Astyanax mexicanus: one gene and its partner. The protein of the gene in region 2 purifies or fractionates together with the protein of the main gene of each other region. This does not show direct contact. Links are inferred from orthologs where the notes say so. Each region holds a gene or a part of one and is shown on either strand. Other genes may lie near its edges. The genes, in order: atad5a and rfc4.

What was found.
Region 1: the proteins of rfc4 (region 2) and atad5a purify together in Homo sapiens (affinity purification with mass spectrometry; 5 studies listed by BioGRID and IntAct, counting the BioPlex papers as one, with this or other methods). This does not show direct contact. The link is inferred for Astyanax mexicanus from reciprocal best matches to the Homo sapiens genes RFC4 and ATAD5.

What each region holds. Positions count from the first base shown.
Region 1 is NC_064410.1:53,627,763-53,639,118, forward strand, and holds the start of atad5a (ATPase family AAA domain-containing protein 5), read right to left. Parts: upstream 4,761-11,356; 5' UTR 4,359-4,760; intron 4,151-4,358; 5' UTR 4,119-4,150; coding exon 4,065-4,118; intron 3,053-4,064; coding exon 1,266-3,052; intron 1,148-1,265; coding exon 1,069-1,147; intron 508-1,068; coding exon 349-507; intron 251-348; coding exon 106-250; intron 6-105; coding exon 1-5. Other genes in the region: prpsap2 (phosphoribosyl pyrophosphate synthase-associated protein 2), read left to right, coding at 8,508-8,590, 8,908-8,960, 10,597-10,663, 10,758-10,930. UniProt on the Homo sapiens protein: Has an important role in DNA replication and in maintaining genome integrity during replication stress.
Region 2 is NC_064423.1:31,882,190-31,893,100, reverse strand, and holds the start of rfc4 (replication factor C subunit 4), read left to right. Parts: upstream 1-6,596; 5' UTR 6,597-6,706; intron 6,707-7,020; 5' UTR 7,021-7,030; coding exon 7,031-7,143; intron 7,144-9,048; coding exon 9,049-9,127; intron 9,128-9,920; coding exon 9,921-10,000; intron 10,001-10,911. Other genes in the region: sos1 (son of sevenless homolog 1), read right to left, coding at 3,670-3,756. UniProt on the Homo sapiens protein: Subunit of the replication factor C (RFC) complex which acts during elongation of primed DNA templates by DNA polymerases delta and epsilon, and is necessary for ATP-dependent loading of proliferating cell nuclear antigen (PCNA) onto primed DNA.

The DNA of each region.
Region 1 (11,356 bases), on a different chromosome or scaffold from region 2:
GGAAGCTGCAAACCCAAAGAAAAAGATATTAAAACAAGTCATTAATATTTAAGAAACAACAATAATGACATTATAGAGGACTGTTGAACGGATTTATTGCATTACCTGGCGCATTCTTAGAAGTCTTTGAAGGCATGTTTTTGCCTAAAACATCATTCAAACTGCGAAGACTTTTCTGATTTTGGCCACTTTCTTGAGATGTAGGTGCAGCAGGGTTGCTTAAATTATCTTCCACAAAGACTATAGACTCCTAAAACAGAAGGAAAGCAAAATTTATTTTTGGCACTGGAATAAAAGCTAATATGTTGTAAATAATATAAAGCTGTATGAAATATAAAAAAGCCCTACCTCACTCTCACAATAACTCATTTTGGGGATTTCTTTTGTCCTTGTGGATCGGCGCACAGTAGGCTCCTCTACTGCAGCAGTCTTTTTGCTCTGTTTAAGTGCTTTTGCTTTCTGGACCAACTTTTTAGCCTGTTTCCTTTTCTTCAGTGAATTTGAATCCTGTCAAAAGAAATTATTTCAAAAAGGTATTCATTAGCTGTATTTCTATCCCTGATGTTTTGATAATTTTGAAAATATACATAAAATACCTAAACAGAAAAAGGACTGATACCTTCTCATTCGTATTACTTGACATATAGTCTATGAACAAAATGAACTGCCGTTAACACATAGGCAAAATGTCTCTCCACTACCTTATACTGCCTCTACAACCCTGTACTCACTATACTACCACATACTAGCTTATACTGGCATAATATGGCTAGTGACTGGAAACACTGCCAGACAGCTGTTTATAGGTTGTTCTAGACATTCTGAAAGTACAAATACAAATCTGGTGTGGACATCTTCCTAAACTGTCTTTTACCATCTTTAAAATGGTCACTGTTAATCATGGTAGCCTTCATCATACAAAGTTCCTAAGCATAATTATAGTGCATGAAAACAAAACTTAACTTTGGCAAAACATTTGGATGTACAGAGGCTACAGGGATTTACGTAATAATGTAAATTAATGAAACAATAGAAAAAGCAGATTCTTGAGAACACAATATAAGCTACCTGTGCAGAAAGAGGACTGGATATATTAAAATCTCCGATTTTTGTTGCAGAAGATGGAAACACTCTTGTGAATTTCATTCTGATTGGAGAAACACAAACACAAAACACATTAACTATTAATTATATCTGCTAAAAAACATGCTCAGTCACAAGTTTCAGAACAACATGTTAGCCATCAATGAGTCTCCGAAACCCACCTGATAGGGCTTTCTTTTTTGTCAGGTGGGCAAAGCATCTCAGCCCTGTAAACACTCTTCTTGGATCGAAGGGGTTTTGGAGTAGAAGGCAGAGCTGGCTCATCCTGAGATACTGTAGGCTCCTTCACCTTCTCCTGGCTCCTTGTTCTACGCGGGGATGCCTTCCTCTCAGGTACAGAAGGAACAGCCTGTCTGCGTGTGCTCTCTCTCGAAGATCTTCTAACCTCCTTGGGAGGTTGCGATTCCTGATCATCAGCAGAGCCACTCTGTGGACACTCTGTATCCTTCTCCACTGATGCTGGAAGGTTCTCTTGCTTTTGTGTAGATTCTGGAGCCTCTTCAGATGTTTTATTCTGTTTTTTCTTCCCAGACTTCTTAGATCGCTTATTTCCAACCCTGCCAGAACTTTTTGGTTCTGTACTCTGGTTTTGCTCTGCGCTGGCTTGCTCATCAGGCTTGCTTTCATCAGCTTTCTCATCAGGTTCTTTCTCTACAATCTCTGTTGCTTTTTCCTGCACTGGTTTTGTTTTTGCAGATGCCTTGCTGGTTTTAGCTTTAGATCCATCCATACCTGGTTGCTTGAAGGCATTCATGAACAGCTTCCTTTCTTCTTGAGTGCACTTTGGAGTGGAGCTGGATTCAACTACTGCCAGCTCCAGATCTTCTTCTTGAAGAACAACATTGGATTTCCTCTTAAGGTCAGGCAGAATGTCTGCTGTTACTTGAGGGGTGGAAGAAGAGGAAGATATCTTGCTATCTTTTGCTTGACAATCCTTTTTCTTTCTACTGAAAATTGATGCCACTTTCATTTCAGGGCTCTTTGCTGACTCCTGGTTTGGGGAGATGGGATGCACTTCAGCTTGGACTGTAAGGGTTCTTGGGGAAACCTGTGGAGCTGCAATTACTACTTCATTAGACTCACAAGACTTAGCACCACTACATATTTCAGCACCATGTTTGTTAGGCTCAGGATCTGCAGGGTCCTCTTCCTCTCCCTGGCTCTGACTGTGTAAGAAGTCTTCAAAGGACACTGTAACAGTGCTTCTGTTCAGCACAGAAGTCTCATCCACATTGACATCCATGCTGGCATTAGCAAGAGACTGATCATGCTCAGTACACGAGTCACTTTGGCTGACTCTCGCTTTTCTACTTTTACGTACCACAGTCTTTATAGTTCTACCATTCCCTTCTACAGGAGATGCATCATCATTTGTTAAGCCGTCACCATCCATGCTAGGGTTCTTACTTTTTCGATTACATAACACATCCTTCACTTTCTCGCCATTTGCAGAGGTCTCCCTGTTGTTCTTTCTTTTAGGAGATTCTTCATCTAAGCAGATATCACCGCTAATCTGAGAGAGCAGGGCTGCTGTATCACTGCCAAACATGGAGAGGTTGCCACCTTCCTTTAATAAAGAGTCACTGGAACTCCCCAATAATATACAGTCATCATTGAGCGCATCTTCCTGTTCCTTCTGTTCCTCCTCCTCCTCCTGGAGCTTGTTTTGCTCCTTTGTTTGTTTTCTGGAGCGTTTCTGCCTTGGTGCCCTACCCAGCTTAGCAGAGGCTTCCTCACCACCGACTGGTTTTGCAGACTGAAGGGGGCTGCATTTTTGGGAAGAAACAATATTTTCCTGAGCAGGTGAAGTCTTCCTGAAGTAATCCATAATGTTGTTGGAGCGAGGAGGAGAGAAAGGCTTTTCCACAGACTTCGGTAAGGGCATGAAGTAGTTTGTGATGGTCTTCGTAGGCGGCAGATCATCATCTTTCCTCAGCTTCTTGCACGGCTGAATAAATACACAAATACTGTAGTTTAGCAAAAGCAATGTAGACAGAACCCAAATTATCAAGGAGGAAAAATAATATGCAGAGACAAAAAGCTCTCCCCTAATTTAATGAAATGGTCAATTTATCAATCCATTCTCTCAGTTTACTAAACTATTTCTCTCACTATTGTGCATGTGTGTGATCAGATGGGTTAAAGGTAGAAGTCAAATTCCATCTGTGGCCAGCTGACATGTATAAAGTACTAGAGACCCAGACTTGAGCAAAAGTACAACTGCTCTATCAAAAAAGTGACAAATAGAAGCTGTTCTTAAATCTCCACAGTCAAGTGTAAGTACTAAAGTACTAAAAAAATTTTGTACTTAAGTATTCCAAGTAGTTTATTCAATACAATTATACAGTTACCAACTGAAGAACTATAAGTAAAAGTAGAGTACTGTGTTATTAGTGTAGTAATTACAGTAAGCAGTGGAAAGTTCTGAGAATGATAGGCAGAACGGGAGCAGCTTGATGTCTTGATTCACTTACAATAAACAATATTATTGTCGTTTTAAGACCATTCACTGTATGCCACTGATATAAAAGTAAAAATACAATAGCATAACAATGCAATTACAAAACACTTTTGAAGAGGAATGAACTTTAAGTTATTTTAAAAAATCAGACATTTGATATGGAATATAAAAACTATACCAAATAACAAAGAGTAATTGAAATGAAACCACTGTTTTCTTTTCAGTTTAGCGAAGGCACTGTCTTTTTCATTTTAACCCATAAGAGCTCAGACCCATTTCTGATTATTGATACCAAACTGGAAATTGAATCAGATAAATTCTGTAAGCAGCTCATTCAGGTTTTCTTCTTATTGTGGCCACGTGACTAAATATTTAAAATAATATGACGATATATATATATATATACACATATGTATATACACACATATTTAATTGTTAACCCATTAGGATAAACACCAAAATGCATATAAATTAGTTAAAAATCAATATAATGACAAACCTGAGTAGCCTCAAAGTCCTCAATAACAGCTGCCATTGCGACAACGCCAGCCATAGCTAGTGGGTGCTGATATCCAAGTTATAAATCTAGAAAACAAAACAGCAGCACAGTACCAGTAAAACACAAAGCTATAATCATCTAAACACAGTTGAGTTTTAACAGTAAGGCCTTAAAGACGTGTAGGTTGACTAGGTTAGTTAGTTTAACTTATATAACATTAATCAAAACAGGGAACCTAGGCTATACTGTACTGATACTGTCCTCTAGAATAAGGACATTTACAGAGCCACTCACCAGAGTTAATCATGATACCTGAGCGCCAATAACACATGGTCCGTGCCTCCCACAGTTGAGAGCTGTCACTAATTACATTAATATCAAACTCATGTTACTAAAACCGAGTGACTGAACCGGTTCCGAATAACAGAAATCCGAACACAAAGCCAGCTGCTAACCGGCTAGCTAACTAACGTTACTCTTCCATAACAATAACAGATACCTGTCTACAGCTTACTGAAACACACCTAACACACGGGTGAGCTACACTACACACACATTAATATAAGCAGAAACACCACCGAACACAATAAAACTGCCCGTTTTTCTTTCCTACAAAACTAAACAGATAAAATACAACTAGCTACATTACACTCAGTCCGCTCAGTTCCTTCTCCCGCAAATGGCGCCAAACTGTAGAGCCCGCCCCGCCGCGCAAAATCCACCAATCACAGCGAGTTTCGTCACCTCACCGTTCAGGATATCGCGTAATTTTACAAATGTAGTAGGAGTTTATTTTTCAATAATAATAATAATAATAATAATAATAATAATAATAATAATAATAATAATAATAATAATAATAATAATAATAATAATAATAATAATAATAATAATAATTTAAAAACTCCCTTTATATATTATTGTGGTTATTTGTGTGTACAGCATGCGTTGGCTTGTTATTACATAAATAACAAATAATAATAATACCACTAATACTACTACAACATACTACTACTACTACTAGTAATAATAATAATAGAAATAATAATAATAATAATGTATAATAATTTTTTTAGGAAGAAAATCTTATTTAGGAAGAAAAACCAGATTTCAGGCACATGAATGAATCTTTTTTTCCTGTTTAAAGGCTTTACTAATACAATGTAATACTTTACATCACCTTTAAACTAACTAAATAAACTGGGCTTTCGATAAACTAATCAGTTCGTAGCTAAGGAAACAAACCAGGGGATTAAAACAAACAAACAAAGAAATAAAACAATAATTAATAACAAAATTCATAAATAAATAAATTGAGAAATAAGTGGACCGACAAGGGATGAATTTTTAAAACTCACATTTAGGGCATTTTATTTACTCGGTAATTTTTCAAGATTTATAGTACAAAGTCAAATCCTTTTTTAAAATAATAATATTTTTCAATCGTATTTATCTATGTAATATTTAGCAGAAATTCTAAACTTATTAACTAAACATTATCTTCTGATTTACAGATACGGCGCCTGATTTTATGCGGCCGGTTGTGTTGAATGAAGTCTTTTATTTTGAAAACTCGCGCAGCGATTGACGGTTATTCCTTATTTCCAGCGCTGTTGCTCTTATCTGCACTTTTAAACCCGAGCACTCCATGAAATAAAGTAAGTCAGTCGGGAGGCGGAACGGAGACAAAACTGGTGAGAGAATCCACTAAATCAGTTCAGCTCATTTAATGTGTATTTACAGCTGTTTTAGCGTGACTTTTGGTGTGGTTTTTCACGCTTTCTCCATTTCCTAACAGTGCAGTGCATATGTAGTAGCGCCTGTTAGCCAGCTAGGTTAACTCAGCTAGCTGTTGAGCGGAGCTGCGGAGTCCAGGTCCATATATTAAAAATCCAGCCCAGGAATTCGTTCCAACTGTGGGGATAGGTCAGCTGCAGCAGAGCAGCCCTGTGAAGTGGAACAAAATCGTGGGATGGATTAATAATATGTGGACATATACTGCCCAGCTCCAGTGAAGAGTGTGTGTCTATCTCTAGTTTTGGGCTAGATTTATGAATTTAGAATGGTTTTGAAGACCTCTGTAAACATGTTTAGATTTATATTTGATTTTGGAAGTGGTTGGTTCATGTTTAAGGCTGAAACATAGCTAAGATAACCGGTTAGCTAGCCTTACATGCTAACTAGCTAATTTCCCTGTGGTTGGTTTCTTGTCACGAGAAAGCCTTGTTGTCATGGGCACTTGGAGACACTTTCAGATACACTATGTGGACAGAAGTATTGGGACATGTGCTTATTCATTTTTTCTTCTGATTTCAACGGTTTAATCAACAGTTTGTCTTGTTTTTGTAGGAGAAACTGTTTCTGCTGTTCAGAAAGTGTATTAGATAACTAGGTTAGATTTGGAGCATTGCTTTAAGGCTTTAAATTAATTTAATAACTGTTAGAGATAAGGTGAACTGGGGATCATCAAACCCCCTAACTAACCCTTAAAGTATTAGATGGAGCGTTGTAGTATCAGACAACCCGTCTCCACATAGGCCTGTCAGGATAACTGTTTTTGTGCACATTGTCCCATAAATAATTGCGATACAATATGTCCAGTATAATTTATTTTACTCCACTTTTGAACACAAACTGTTAATAATCATGACTGGATGGATCCTAGAATTTCTGTGAAATTTGTGGAAATGTCTGCATTGAATTATATCCCACTATAGCAGAACAGCAAAACATCACAGTGACATTTTTTAATTCAATAATTTAAAGATATTTTCCCAAATAATGATATATATCTGAATACATATGTTCACATTAAAAGGAATCAGGAGTTACAGATTCTGAAGAAACAATATTATTAGATGGAGCGCTGTAGTACAACAACACTGCTCCACATAGGCCTGTCAGGATAACAGTTTTTCTTTGCGCTGTCCCATACATAATTGCAATATAATATGCCCAGTGTTATTTATTTTACTCCAGTTTTGGACATACAACTGTTGTTATTAATCATGGTCATTTGAATCCTAGAATTTTTGTGAAATATTTGAAATTCCTTTATTTATTAAATCGCGCTATATTTTGCAGAACATCACAATAACATTTTTAAATAACCTAAAGATATTTAAAAAAAAAAAACATTCTCTTTATCTTAATACAAATGTTCACATTCAAAAGTCATCAGGAGAGACTGATTCTAAAGAAACAATTGGTATCGAAAAGGCAGATAGTGCTGCTAAAGGAGCTTTGAATGAAAACATCTCTGAGTGCCAGATCCCTGTCTCTGATATCAAACCTGTACTTTCGTCCTATATAATTGATAAATGGCAAGCTGAATGGGACAGCTGCGATGACAATAAGCTGCATGAAATCTGCATTTCTGTGAAACAAACTGTAACTCAATTATTTTCTTGTAGACATGATCAAGTTGTTTATACAAGGTGTAGGATTGGACATTCTAGGCTCACCCATGGCTTTTTACTAATTAGAGATGAACCTCCCCTGTGTGATCACTGTGGCAATGTTTTATCAATCAACCATATTTTATCTTGTCCTGCTCTTAGAGTGAAAAGACAGCAGTTTTTTACAGAAATGACTACTGTAGATATTTTTAATAAGGTCTCACCTTTAAAACTTTTACAATTTTTAAAGTCTATTAATGTGACCAACCTTATCTAGTGTATTTATGTATTATGTATTATAATGTATAATGTATTATAATGTATTATGTATTATAATGTATTTTTTAATTTTTTTTATTGAGTGAAATCTTTTACTTGTATTAGCCATGAAATAGCCACAGCTGCTAAATTGGCTTTAAACACAAACAAACAAACAAACAAACAAACTAAAGAAACAATTGTTTTATATTTTCACAGTATTTTTTAAACCTATTCTTTTTTCCCATCCTGTTAAACATGATTATGTATGCTCTGTGTAATTAAATTTACAGCTCGGTCAGTGTTCTTTAAGCACTGTTGGATGTGCATGATATGCTTAAAAGTGTATTATAGGTATGATTGGAGAGATTATAATAAGTGATATTGTCCACCTCTGCTTTATACCCCTCTAGTATCTGAATGTATTCTTTAGAAAGGGTGTGTACAACCATTTGAGCATAGGGTTTATTTTCAAGTGATTCTTATATTTCAATGGTAAAATAGCTTCTAAAAATGTTTTACCTGGTTTGGCATCATAAACCAAAATTAGACTAATTAAAAAACCGTGGTAGAATTCAAGTACTTAATTCAACTAATTACTAACAGCTGATTGTATCATATTCCTCCTCTTTTTCTTTACAGGATTTGATCAGGCATACTTGTGTGGTGTGGTGTTAAACTAACAGTCTGCTTGTGAAACTGTTTATAGGAAGGGCTCAGCAGTGCCTGGGAGCCCAGGGAGCCACTGCCTGAGTCCCTCGAGGTAGAAACTAAGAAGAAACTGGACATGAACGCCGCAAAGGGAGGCCTGGTCATTTTTACGGCCAACTCCAACCCCTCCAGCAGGGAGCTGGGAAAAAGGATCGCAGAGTAAGTTAAACTTAATTTATTCTGATGTTGTTTAGATTCACATTTGATGTTTAGCTTTGTGTTGTGTTTAGTAAAATAATGTTTTGTCTGGTGGAAATATTGACCTGCCAGCTTAAAGTGCAGCTTCTAATCTGAGAAAGGCAAGTATGTGCCTGTCCTGAAGTTGGCCAATAATTCAGTTAATCATTCACCTAAGCTGGTGTGAAATTATTGACTAAGGATCCTTCAAGACCTTTCGCCTTTAGTCTTCTGTGTTTAGTAAATCACTGTTTTTTTTTTCTTACTGATGATTATTTTTTCCTTCTTATTTACTTCAGACGATTGGGTGTGGAGCTTGGCAAGGTGCAAGTGTATCAAGAAGCAAATAGAGGTAAGATGAAACCCAGTGTGCTGTATCTCAAGTGGTATCTGTCTGTGGTCGGATCTGTTACAAAAATATCTATTTTTAGGTTTTATAGGTAGTGGGTAAACACATCCTCAAAATGATTCAAATTAAAAATGGTGCATTTATTTGCAATACAATAAACCAATAAAAAAATAACAATTGAAATGGCCCAAAACAACTACACAATTCTCACAATTATTCAACCTCAAACACCTTTATGCTGGTATGTTCTGCTGCAGACATGATGCATAGGCAGATACCAGCTTCTTGCAGTGTTTCTGGGGAATTTTAGCTCATTCCACATGGGCTCTACAGAATCTTTTAGGACTTCTTTTATCCATCTTGCTCTTGTCTTGAAAAGGTTATATAATTACATTTTATTTTATTGTAGACAGATGCAAGTTTTTACTTTTTGCTAATAAACATAATTTGCAGTGGAATAATTTGCCCACCTTACTGTTAGGTTGTAGGTATAAGTAGAGAATTTAAGTGCTTTGCATTTAAAACGCCCTGTCAAGTCAGCATGGTTGTGTGGACAGCTTAACTGACTCTCATCTCATCACTTCTGCTTTCCTCTTAAGTAATTGGGGTCAGACAGTAGTTCTGAGACACACCACAACTGAGCAACATTTTAACCCCTTCAGACTCTGTGTCCATTATAATGGACATCATGTATATATATATATTTTATATATATTCACTGGCAACTAAACCCCCAAAACTTAAAACTACATATATTTATTGTAAATAATAATTACAGTGTTATTGTGTATTTATTTAGGCAAAAGCTTATTCTACAAAAGCTGCAATAATTTGTAATTAATGTATTAATTACAATTCTTATTATAAAATAATATGTTGTGATCTTTCTGTAATTTTACAATCCTTTACTAACAACTTTTTTGCTGTTAACTTGCAGTAAAGATTTACAAGAAACATTTTTACAGTGCAGGATAGACCACAAAGTAGGTTAATTGATTTAGAATACATTTAATCATGTTTATTTTACTGTTAAGAGATGGTTTGTGAAATAAAAAGGCTTCCAATAAAAAAAGTAATTAAATATTATTTTCTTAGAACATTAGAGTCAGCATTTATATATTTATTATATTCATATATTTTTCACATCAGTGTTACATAATTCTCGTCTTAAAGGATTAAAACGTGTTTTAAACACATTATTATTATTATTATTATTATTATTATTATTATTATTATTATTATTATTAGATTATGATTTTGATGATAATACATTACATTTCTAAATGAATTATGGATGTTTACAGGATAGTTGGACTTCCTCAGTGGCAAATTAGTCCTGGGAATGTCTGTCTGTTGTCCTGGTCGGGATAACTGGCCTTGGTGGCCCAGTCTGAATTGTTGATTTTGCAGAGAGGCTGCTCATTCTTTGCATTCCATGCTGGATAATGCAGACAAAACAAATTGGGTGGCTGAGCCACTATCCTCTATTCACCAATTAAAAAGACCCTCTCTTTGTTTTGACCATGTGTATTAGAGTGTAATAGATTGTATCATAGTGGAAATACCACCCTTTCTATATCATAAGAAAAGAGTTTTCATAGATTTGTCTTACAGAAGCGATTTTTTTTTTCTTACACAGAAACGCGTGTTCAGATCCAGGAGTCGGTGCGTGGTAAAGATGTCTTCATCATCCAGACTGTATCCAAGTAAGACCCACATTGATTTGAGTGTTTATTTTTCCCCAGTCACTAAAAGTTGGGTGTTCATTTAGCCCCTTTTTTTGATCTGTTTTTCCCACAGGGATGTCAACACAACCATCATGGAACTGCTCATTATGGTGTATGCCTGCAGAACCTCCTGTGCCCGGAATATCATCGGAGTCATTCCCTATTTTCCCTACAGTAAACAGTGCAAAATGAGAAAAAGAGGTTCCATCGTCTCTAAGCTGCTGGCCTCTATGATGTGTAAAGCAGGTGACATGCTTTTTTTATTTTTTATTATTTTTTTAAAAACAGGCATTTGTTTATTAAAGAAGACGATCCTGTGTTTTTATATTTTATGTATTTTTTTTAATTAAAACAGTAGTTTTTATGCCCATCCTTTCATGAGTGATCTGGCAACACAGAGCCCTATTTTTTGACAGTATTTTATAAAAGAAATTTTACAGAACAATTCATTTGCATTAACCTTTATTAAAATTGCTCTTCCACATTTCCACTTTTATATGCAATTACACATTCTCCCTAGAGAGGTCTCAAAATGTGCTTCTATCGCAGTTAAGCATGAACTAGGTGGTTTATGTTTTGCCATTTAACACAAGCAAACACTAAGGTGTGGTAAATGCTCCAGCATATACATGGCATGGCCAGCAACAGCTTATTTACATAAAAGTGACAGAG
Region 2 (10,911 bases):
TGGTGCAACAGCTTTCACCATGTTTTATCATGAGATCCACTTCTGCTAGTTGTTCTGTTTTTTGTTTTTTTTTTGCACAAACTTTCAATCTTGCATATAAACAGGCTGTCTTTGTCAATGTGCCTTTAAATTAACACAAAAATAGGTTTTATTCTGACAGACTGCCACGCAGCTTCACTTTAAAAGCAATCCAAACTAACACTCCTTATAACTTCAGTGTAAAGTGTGGGTCTTAACCGCTGACCAATGAATACAAAACTGCTAAAGCTTGAGTTTTGCATAATATAATAATTAAATAATTAAATAATTCCCCACTCAAAACTGGAAAATTCCAGCTTCTTAGTTCAAATGGAAAACTGCATTAATCTGAAACTTTAACAATGATTACATATTACATCCATCTCCTGATACACAAAAAACAGGAATAATACACAATTATCAGTCTTTACAGGGTCTTCTATTTAAAATGCCCCTTCCCAAAAATAAGCTAACCCAAAACAGAGTATATAGGACATAATTAAAACAAACACTACTTTGCTGTCCAGCTTGAAGCCATGGTGTTGCTATGGATTCAAAGTGACAGAAGATGGAGCAGAAAGAGTTTGGCCAAGAAACATTCTGTGAGTGTGACCGCATCCTCCTCCACAAAGGAGGACCACAAGCTGCAATTACACACAAGATAACACCCCAGTGTCCCACAGCACAGCTCCCGCTGCCATTTCAGCACATCGACAGGAGAAAAACAAGTGTCCAGCTAAGACTAAGTTACAGGAAAACCCATAAAATCAGGGTAAACAGCCCTCTTATCATGACCATCCAATCTTTATCACCAACAATGATAATCTCAGAATGCTCAGCGCAGGATTCATTTTGCTCTGGTTAAGTTTTACACTGGTAAACGTTTAAATGCATTTAGATGCCTTAGCCTAGCTTGACATTCCCTCATAACAGTAGAGCATGACTGTAAACCTGGAATTGGAGCAGACGAAAGTTCAGACATATCTGATAATATGCTTCCTGATCACATTTGGAGAACCACAACACTAGAAAGCCACAATATTGACCCCACAATATACAATCTACCTGGTGATGGAAGAAAGTCACTGGCTTGCTTCTGCTGAATGTGTCACACTCACTAAAATAAACAAACCTTAAAAATATACAGTGAACTAATGATGACAGTCAATTTGAATTGCCAAAAACATGCATTTATTAACTATTTAAAATGTTAATGCTTTAAAATGTTGTAGGTGTATAATTTATGATCGATCATCAACATATCTGTGGCAAACAATTGTCTTAATAATAAAATGTATCAGAATTACTTCAATCAAGTCGCTGTCCAGTGAAAAACAAGTATCTCCATTTTTGTGGATTTTAGGTTTATTACATAATTTGAACAGACAAACTGTCCCTTACACTATGCCAAAGATTCTTGATACTGAAACAAACTCTTTTTCCATTGACTTCCATTGAAATTGAAGTATGTTTTTTCTCTCTCCGGTAAAGTTGCTGTTTTGGAGATACTTGTTTTTCATTGTACAGCAACAATATACTGTCCATAAAAATGGCTATTGTGGGATGGGGTCTTTTCAAGAAGCCCAACTGGGTACTAGTAACAACTCATGTACAAACCCACTCAGTGCTCAGGCTCACCTGGAGCCCAACTGGAACCCACCTAGCCCTTGATCCACTCATGTGAGACCCACATTGACATTTTGCTGGGGTAATGAGCTGATCTGATCTAGAAGACACCTAAGTAAGAGGTCTATTAAGCTTTGTTTGTGTTGACATACATCTACTCTACAGGTGAACAGCAGCTAAAAGTCCAGAAAGTGTGTTTCACAGCTGTCCAGAGAAACTGAGACACTGGTGCAATCATTCTGCCACTTGCACACAATAAATCAAGTTTGTGGATGATGCAGGTGAGGAATACCAGTGTTCTCGGGTGCTCTTATGTCTGTGTTACCTTCTGTAGCGACTATGATTATATTATATTAGCACACACAGATAATCAGACTTATAGGGTGATACTGTTACCCTTTTTGAATCAACAATCTTTAGTAGTGCAAACGGATGAGGATGTGTCTAATTACCCCCAAAGTTTCTTCCTTGACATTTGAAGGAGTTTGCCCTTGCTATTGTTTTCTTTGGCTTGCCCAATGGAGGTATTAGTTTAATATTTTATGTATTGATGATCTCTTGTCCTGTTTATTACTGGATTCCTGTAAATGTGCTTTGTGACAATGTCAGCTGTGTGCTATTCAAATAAATTTGACTACAGTGTCTATGCCCACTTGGAAACCACCTAGCCCCCATTCCTCCCATGTAAACCCAACATTGGCAACGTAAACACTAAAACATGGGGCAGGTGGTCTTCCAGTCATAGCTCCTCCCACTTTTCTATTCTCTTTCTACTGTTTTCTTTGACTTGCCCAATAAGAGGTATTATGTTAATATTTAATGCATTGATTATCTCTATTGTCCCATTTGTTACTGGATTCTTGTAAATCTGCTTTGTGACAATGTCAGTTGTGAAAAGTACCATACAAATACATGTGACTACAGTGCCTATGCCCACATACCACCCATGTAAACCCAATATGAGCAATGTAAACCCTAAAACATGGGGCAGGGGGTCTTCCAGTCTTAGCTCCTTCCAAGGTTTCTTCCTCTAGATTTCACTGTTGTGTCATGCGATTAAGTTATACAATTTTATACAATTTTGTTCCATCTCACGTCCCACATGTGATGAGAATGACAATTAAGTCTCACTGAATCCTTGAAATTAATGCTTTACATATTGTTTATGTATGTAATGTGGTGTGCATTGATTCCTGAAAATCTCCTTTGTGACCATGCCAATTGTAGAAAGTGCTATACAAATACACTCGACTACAGTGTCTGTACCCATTTGGAACCCATCTAGCCCACATTCCACCCAAGTAAACAAAACATGAGCAATGTAAAAACTGAAACATGGGGCAGGGGGTCTTCCAGTCTTTAGTTTCTCCGAAGTTTCTTTTTCCAGATTTGAAGGAGTTTGCCCTTGCTACTGTTTTCTTTGGCTTGCTCAATGGGGTATTATGTGAATATTTTATGTACTGATGATCTCTTGTCTTTTTTATTACTGGATTTCTGTAAATCTGCTTCGTGACGAGGTCAGCTGTGAAAAGTGCTACACAAATACATTTGACTACAGTGTCTATGCCCACATTCCACCCATGTAAACCCAACATGAGCAATGTAAACACTAAAACATGGGGCAGGGGGTCTTTCAGTCCCAACGTTTCTTCCTCCATATTTGAAGGATTTTCCCTCGTCACTGTTGTTTTTGGTTATTAAGCTAACGTTTAATGTATTGTTTATGTATGTAATGTGTCATGTACTGATTCCTTTAAATCTGCTTTGTGACTTGGAACCCACCTAGCCCACATTCCTCCCATGTAAACCCAACACGCGCAATGTAAACACAGAAACATGGGGCAGGGGGTCCTCCAGCCAGGACCAAGCTTGGGAACCAGTGGTCTAGGAGAACACTTAGCAAAAAGCCTACAAAGCTGTGTCTGCGTTGACCACGTTGATCTAGCTAGTTAACCTAGCTACTCTACAGAAAGTCAACAGATAACTAGTTACATGGTCCAGAAATCCAGCTGTGCAAAAGCTCACCTTGTTCAGCGACGGTACCAGCAGCCCCCTCCATTTAGGCGCGTTCTCCTCGCTGAAGAAATCGTACTGGAACTGTGTCCCTTGCATGACTTCGGTGGAGCTTCAGGGCCGCCGGTCAGGGTCCGGGTCCGTCCTGCTGAAGCCCTGGCCGGTGAGCCGTGTGTCACACCAGAAAGGCAGGCGCGGGGCCATACACAGGCCCGCGGCCGGGAAGGAGCCTGGTCGAGCGGACCGAGTGGAAATAGCAGCGACCTAATGCGACCATCGCATCGTTGTGGCGAAGCGCTGAGCTGTCTGGAGTCACCAAAAACAAGACGAAAACGTGCCTGAGTGGCTTTAACAGCTCTATAAACGCCCCAAGCCGCAGCCCGAGGCTTTAAAAACAGCAACTCCAGCGAAGAAACACGCAGCCAAACAGCTGGAGCTGCCCCTGTATCGGTTCCCTGCACTCCCAGACGCCGTAGAAACGGGCTGGTGCTAGCTCGGCTAAGCTAACAATAATAATAATAAACGGTTCGCTGTGCTAAGCTAGGCTAAGCTAAGCTAAACCAAACAGGGATTCGCTTACAAACAGCTAACTAATGCGGATTCAAAACTGAAATGTGTCACCACAGTGAAAAAAAGCCCGAGTTTAACTCTCCCCTTTTCGGTACAGTTTAGGACAAAAGCGGCTCCAGCTCCTCGGAACACATTCGTCCATTTTAGCTAGCCGGTGTTCTGTCGGGTTGCGCTACCCACCGATATGTGGTGCTTTGGGGCACTGCGCATGCGCCGAACTACTGTTGTTATTACTATTTTCTCGCTATATAGTTGTTGTTTAATAAATGTTAATAAATGTGGATTAATATAAACAAAATTATAATGAATAACACATACATTATCTTATATTTAACTTTTAACCAAACATATATTTTGATTTAGATTAAAGGTGGGCAGTATTCTGATTTTGTATTGTATCCTGATACGGTTTCATATCAACAGTAGGTTATACTTTTTTTTTGACAATATGCTTCATATTTTTTATTGCAGAATTTAGTCAATACAAACATATAATCAGCATAAATAATAGTAAAAAAAACGTTTCCCTAAACACAAAAGTATCAAAACTATGTCAATAATATAATAATAAAAACAACAATGATTAAAAAGAAATAATACTATTACTAAGCAAAATAAACTACAATAAAAAATAATATATATATAAAAGAGATGTGCTTTTTAGTCCAAAGGAATATACTTTTTTTAGCATATTAAAGACATCCTCAGTGCTGCCTTTTAACTGCGTTCAAATGTCGTGTCATGATAATTTGTGTATAAATCGAGTATTGTTAAAACTGTCTTTAAATAGTTTTATCATATCTTTCAGCCCTAATTCAATAAAGCCAAATGTGTCCCATATACCTACACTTTTGCCGGGGGCATTTTTTGATAAAAGCTAATGATATCAGACTATCGAATTATCTTCCCTAATGTTTTATTAAGGCATGTCTACCTATACATAAATACTAAGGTAGCTCGCCGTGACAAGGTAACCTAAATGGACAGAACACCGGATCTACGGGAGGGTGGCTAACCATTAATTTCGCCGTGGTGCTCTAGTTCAGAGACGGCAGATTGAGCTGGTGACAGCGCAGGCGGGCGCTGGAGAGAGTGCAGGATGTATGGAGGATGGTGCAGTTAGTAAAGAGGAGTTTTTACAGGTTTAAAGCGAGCCGTTCGCTTTATTTTGGGCGGTTGTTGTGACTCGGCTGCAGATGTGGATCATGCGCAGTGGGGGACAGAGACTCTCTCTCTCCGCTGGGCTGGAGGGACAATAACAAAGCTTTCTGAGCTATTTAACGCGCTGTTTCTCGCTCAGATCGATAGATAAAGCGTCAAAAAAACTGAGGATTTCAGAATGCCCCCAAAAAACAGAGGAATCAGTTCCCTCTTGCCGCTCTCTTCAGCCAATAAACCCAATGCGATCACTACGCTGAAGAGGTCGCAGGCACAACCAATTGATGGTCGAGTAGGAAGGGATAAGAGACTATACAAGTCAATTGCCGAGAAATAGAGCGAGTCCGCTGTCAGTAGAAGGTAGAGGGATGTGCCGGGCTCTCCTGTCACCTGCGGGTCAATATCATTATAACGCGCCTGGGTCTGAAGTCCAATGAATATTATAATGTTTTAAAAACGTTCTGAAGTCTAAAATGCTGCCCATCATTCATTACTAATTATATTGGGATTTCTGTGCGACTTTACTGAAATTTGTCAAATTGAATGACCTTCATTTCTTACGATTTTTTTTATTTGCTTAGTTATTCTTACTATCTTGTTATTGTTACTATCATTAACAATCATAATTATTACTTACATTATGATTAGAATTATATTACTATAGTTATATCATTATATCAGTACATCTGAACATAACAGTATTATGTACTGGTAATTTTTTTTACCAACAATTTGTAATACGATACATAGATTTTGACGTTTTATACAGTATTTTTAAGGACAGTATTAATGTTGGGGGGAATATGGAATACATTAGGTTCTCTAAAAAAAGAATTTATTTTTTGAAAGACCATAAAATATTTTTTTTATATCAGTGTTTACATTTGCATCACTAACGTATGCTGAAAATATGAAAAAAGTGGATTTTTCCGTATGCATGCAATACTTAAAATTTGAATACATATTTTGATTCTTAATGTAAAAATATATAATTTGATTTAAAAAATAAAATGAATTTTATATTAAACACAAAAACAGTGCAGCTTTGCAGCCATAAACAACCGATTTATAATGTTTTTATTTTCTTCTTTTTGTTTCTGTTTTTCCATATTTATTTGCTATAGTATCATTAGTTTCCTTAATAATATTAAAAAAAATCTTAATAAATATTAAATATAATAAATATTAAAAAGTGGGCGCGTGAACACGTCGGCGCCGGAGTGACGTAGTGACGCTGTCATCGTGTGCGCGCCTGGCGGGAAACTGGCGCTGCTTGTGTTTCAGTTCGGAGAGTAAACACTTTATAAACCTTTATAAGCAGGTAAATACTGGGTTGTGTGGACGCGCTTCTGGTTGTTGTGCATGCTTACTAATATTTTATATAAACCTGAGGCCTGTGCTGCCTTTATATTCTCTTATAAACTGAGTTAGAGACTGAAGAGTGAGAGAATCAGGGCTGTGTTGATTCTGCTGCTGCTGCTAGTATAGTAGTTATCCTAGCTGTTAGCATACTAACCTGTAGAGCTGAGCCTCAGTACAGTAACAGCTGCATTACTACTGCTGAAACTTTAAAACATCTGTCAGTGTTGTATGACCAATCATACAAGTGTGTGTGTGTGTCTGCTACTTTTACAGGGTAGGAAACATGCAGGCTTTTCTGAAAGGATCTACACAGAGTGTTAAACCACAGAGGGATAAGGCCACAGCTGGGAGCAGTGGAGAGAAGAGACAGAAACCGGTGCCATGGGTGGAAAAATAGTAAGTGAATGACTATATGTATTTTCTTTGTCTAAAGGCATTAGAGGTGGTCAATATTATATCGTATACAATATATCGTGACACAGAAATATCATGATATTAAAAATCGTAAATATCGTGATAATAGGGCTGTTCTGTCTTAAAAGTAGTCTATTATTCACTGTGAAGCTTTAGGTGTATTTATTGTATAATTGTTTTAGTTTGCAATTTATATGCATGCACAAAATATTCTGCAATATTATTTGCTGCATTATATTATTTTATGCTGTATTATTTATTTTGCCACATTATGATTATACTGTTATACTATTATACTATATTCCTGAAATGAATGAATTTTTTTTGTTTTCCTATATCGCCAAGAATATCGTTTTCGCAAAAATACCCTGAAATATCGTGATATTATTTTAGACTCATATCACCCACCCCTACTAAAGGCATTAGAGGTGGTCAATAAGGCACTAAAATAATATCACAATATTTTATGGTATTTTGCAATAACGATATTCTTGGCGACATGACAAAAATTTAATAAAATATTTTCAAGAATATACTGATCATACTATTGCAGTAAATGTATTTTTCATATAATTGCATGTAATATGATATGCCAACCCCTGTTAGAGATTTCCACCTGATTGTAACAGAAGTAAATGATCCAACATGTCATGATACTAATAATGCACTGTATTATAGCTGCCTTAAAGTGATCCATTGTAGAAGACTGGCCTACACTTCTGGAGTAAATTCAAATTCAGTCAGAACAGCCTATTCAACAACTTAACTTAAAAGGGGTGGCAAACCATGCCGACATGCAGTATTTCATCACACTTTTAATCACTTAAATATAAAACAACATTAAAATTCTATTGTTTGCAATATATGAGTAGCTAATACACGCTTAAATCTTGTTTTTTTTTAAGCTGTATGATATTTGTCAGCCTTGCTGGATGACATCTTTAGATTCTCATTTAAAAGTATGTCCATTTTAACAATTCTGGATAGGAGACAATGCAAAATCTGCATAATGTCACTGTCCAGCAAAAGCACTGCCTGTCTTTCTGACATATTTGTATTGGTCTGGGCATAATGTAAAATACAGTTGGCAATCAAAAAGGGAAAAACAGTGACAGGCTGTATGTTGTGTTGTGGTATGTTGGTAATAAGCAATGTAAATTATATACACCGATCACTGGCATACGCCATAATATTGGTATGGTGTTCAATCAACTTATATTAGAGAGGAATTCATGTTTTCCTATTATTAGTGATGGGTGTTTTTTTTTGTAGCACTGATTTGCAACAGTATGCATATTATTATTTTGTATTGAAATATACCATTTTGGATTTTGCATTATAGCTGTTTCTTTGATAACTATGGAGTAATAGTTTCGTATAGGTTGTTTTGATGTTGTGTGGTAGTGTGAGTTGTAAGGTGGTGTTGGTTGTATAATGGTAGTTTAATTTGGCTGTCAGAAAAACGTGTCTTACTTCAGGATATGTATTTTATCCAGTTATTGTGATAACGTTAACCACAGAATTGGTCTTATGTCTGGTGCCTTTCAATACCACTATTAACAATGAATCTGTGATTGTTATGCTGAATTGTGCAAAAGTACAAGAGCAGGGTTGAAGATATGTATTGTTTTTGGTAAAATTACATCACAGTATGCCACATTATAGACTTTTGAGTTATTAAGTTATAAAACACTCAAAAGTTTTAGGGTTCTTTATAGTTCATTACATTGTTAGTCAGGGTTGCTGGCAGTGGGTGATTGAATTAAAATCATACGTACTTATAGTTTTTGATGTTTTTTTTAAATGGCACCACTGGCTCTATTTTGTTTGTTCTAATGACCAGTATAACATTATGACTTATAGAATGTCTTTTTTTTTCTTTCACAGCAGGCCTAAGTGTGTGGATGAAGTTGCTTTTCAAGAGGAGGTTGTTGCGGTATTGAAGAAATCACTAGAGGGCGCTGACGTAGGTTTTCTTTTAATTAATTAATTTATTTTTTATTATTAAATATACCTTCAGACATGATGTTATATTAACATATTAATTAATTTATTTTTTATTATTAAATATACCTTCAGACATTATGTTATATTAACATATATTAATTAATTTATTTTTTATTATTAAATATACCTTCAGACATGATGTTATATTAACATATTAATTAATTTATTTTTTATTATTAAATATACCTTCAGACATGATGTTATATTAACATATATCTTAATCTTATCTATATGACATATTAAATTATACATTTTAATTCCTTTCGTTTTAACAGATTATTTAATATATATTAAACATATTTGCTGTGGAACAGATAATAAACAATAACTTTCGAATAAGCACACTTTGAGAGTCAGGTCAGGCCACTGATGGCTCGTGGTGAAGATCTGCAGAGCTGGGTTTACCTCTCTCTTTCTCTCTCTCTCTCTCTATCTCTCTCTCTCTCTCTCTCTCTCTCTATTGTACTATAAATAGTAAATGCTTGTTCTCTGCTGTAGTTTCTTCTCCTTGTGTTCTGTGCCACTTGTGTAATTGAATATGTGTGAAGCTGAAGGCATAAGCACTTCCCTCGCTCCACTGTGTCTCTGTCTGTGCAGACGAGATGAGTCCTTCTGACAGACCTCACCAATGCAGTGCATATTTTTAATCAGAATTGCTTATGTGCTGTTTAATCTTGTTAAGCGTATGGTTGACATTTGTGCATTCATCTGTGTTTGTAGTTTGTGAAAATCACTTTTCTCTTTGCATTTAGCTCCCGAATCTACTGTTCTATGGACCACCTGGAACTGGAAAGACATCCACTATTCTTGCTGCAGCAAGAGAATTATATGGGTAAAACCACCTTATTTTTATTGTTTATTCTACATTTTTATTGTATGCATTTCTGAACTTTTGAGAGACATGGCCACTAAAAATTGCACACATATGGGTTGGGGCTGCATTGTGATATTTTGTTCTGCAATATATATTGCAATGCTAAAAATACAGTAATTTCCCCAAATTTCAGCATGTCAGTAATTAAAATTGTATAAATGTTAATTGTTTTAGTTTGCAGTTTATATGCATGCACTAAATATTCTGCAATATTTTTTGCATTATATTATTATATGTGCATTATATTATTTTATGGTATATTATTTATTTTGCCACATTATGATTATACTATTATAATATATTCCTGAAATGAATGAATTATTTTAGTTTTCCTATATCGCCAAGTATATCGTTATCGCAAAAATACCCTGAAATATCGTGATATTATTTTAGAGCCATACCTAAAGGCATTAGAGGTGGTCAATAAGGCACTAAAATAATATCACGATATTTTATGGTATTTTGCAATAACGATATTCTTGGCGACATGACAAAAATTGAATAAAATATTTTCAAGAATATACTGATCATACTATTGCAGTAAATGTATTTTTGATATAATTGCATGTAATATGATAATTAAAAGATGTCATGATATCAAAATTGCAATTTGTGCGTCAATGATTGGCATAAAAATAAATGGTATGAGAGAGAAATTAATGAGATTGTCATGTTCAATGAGAATAGTATGTTTTTTTTTGTGTGTGTGTGTGTGTGTGTGTGTGTGTGTGTGTGTATTGACACAAAACATTATGTAATGAGACTATTGCACATGTGTACATTGCAATATCAATTTAAAAACAATATTATGCAGCCTTAATTGGCTCTGCATTGTTACACATTTCTGGTGAACATTTTCTTGCTTACTT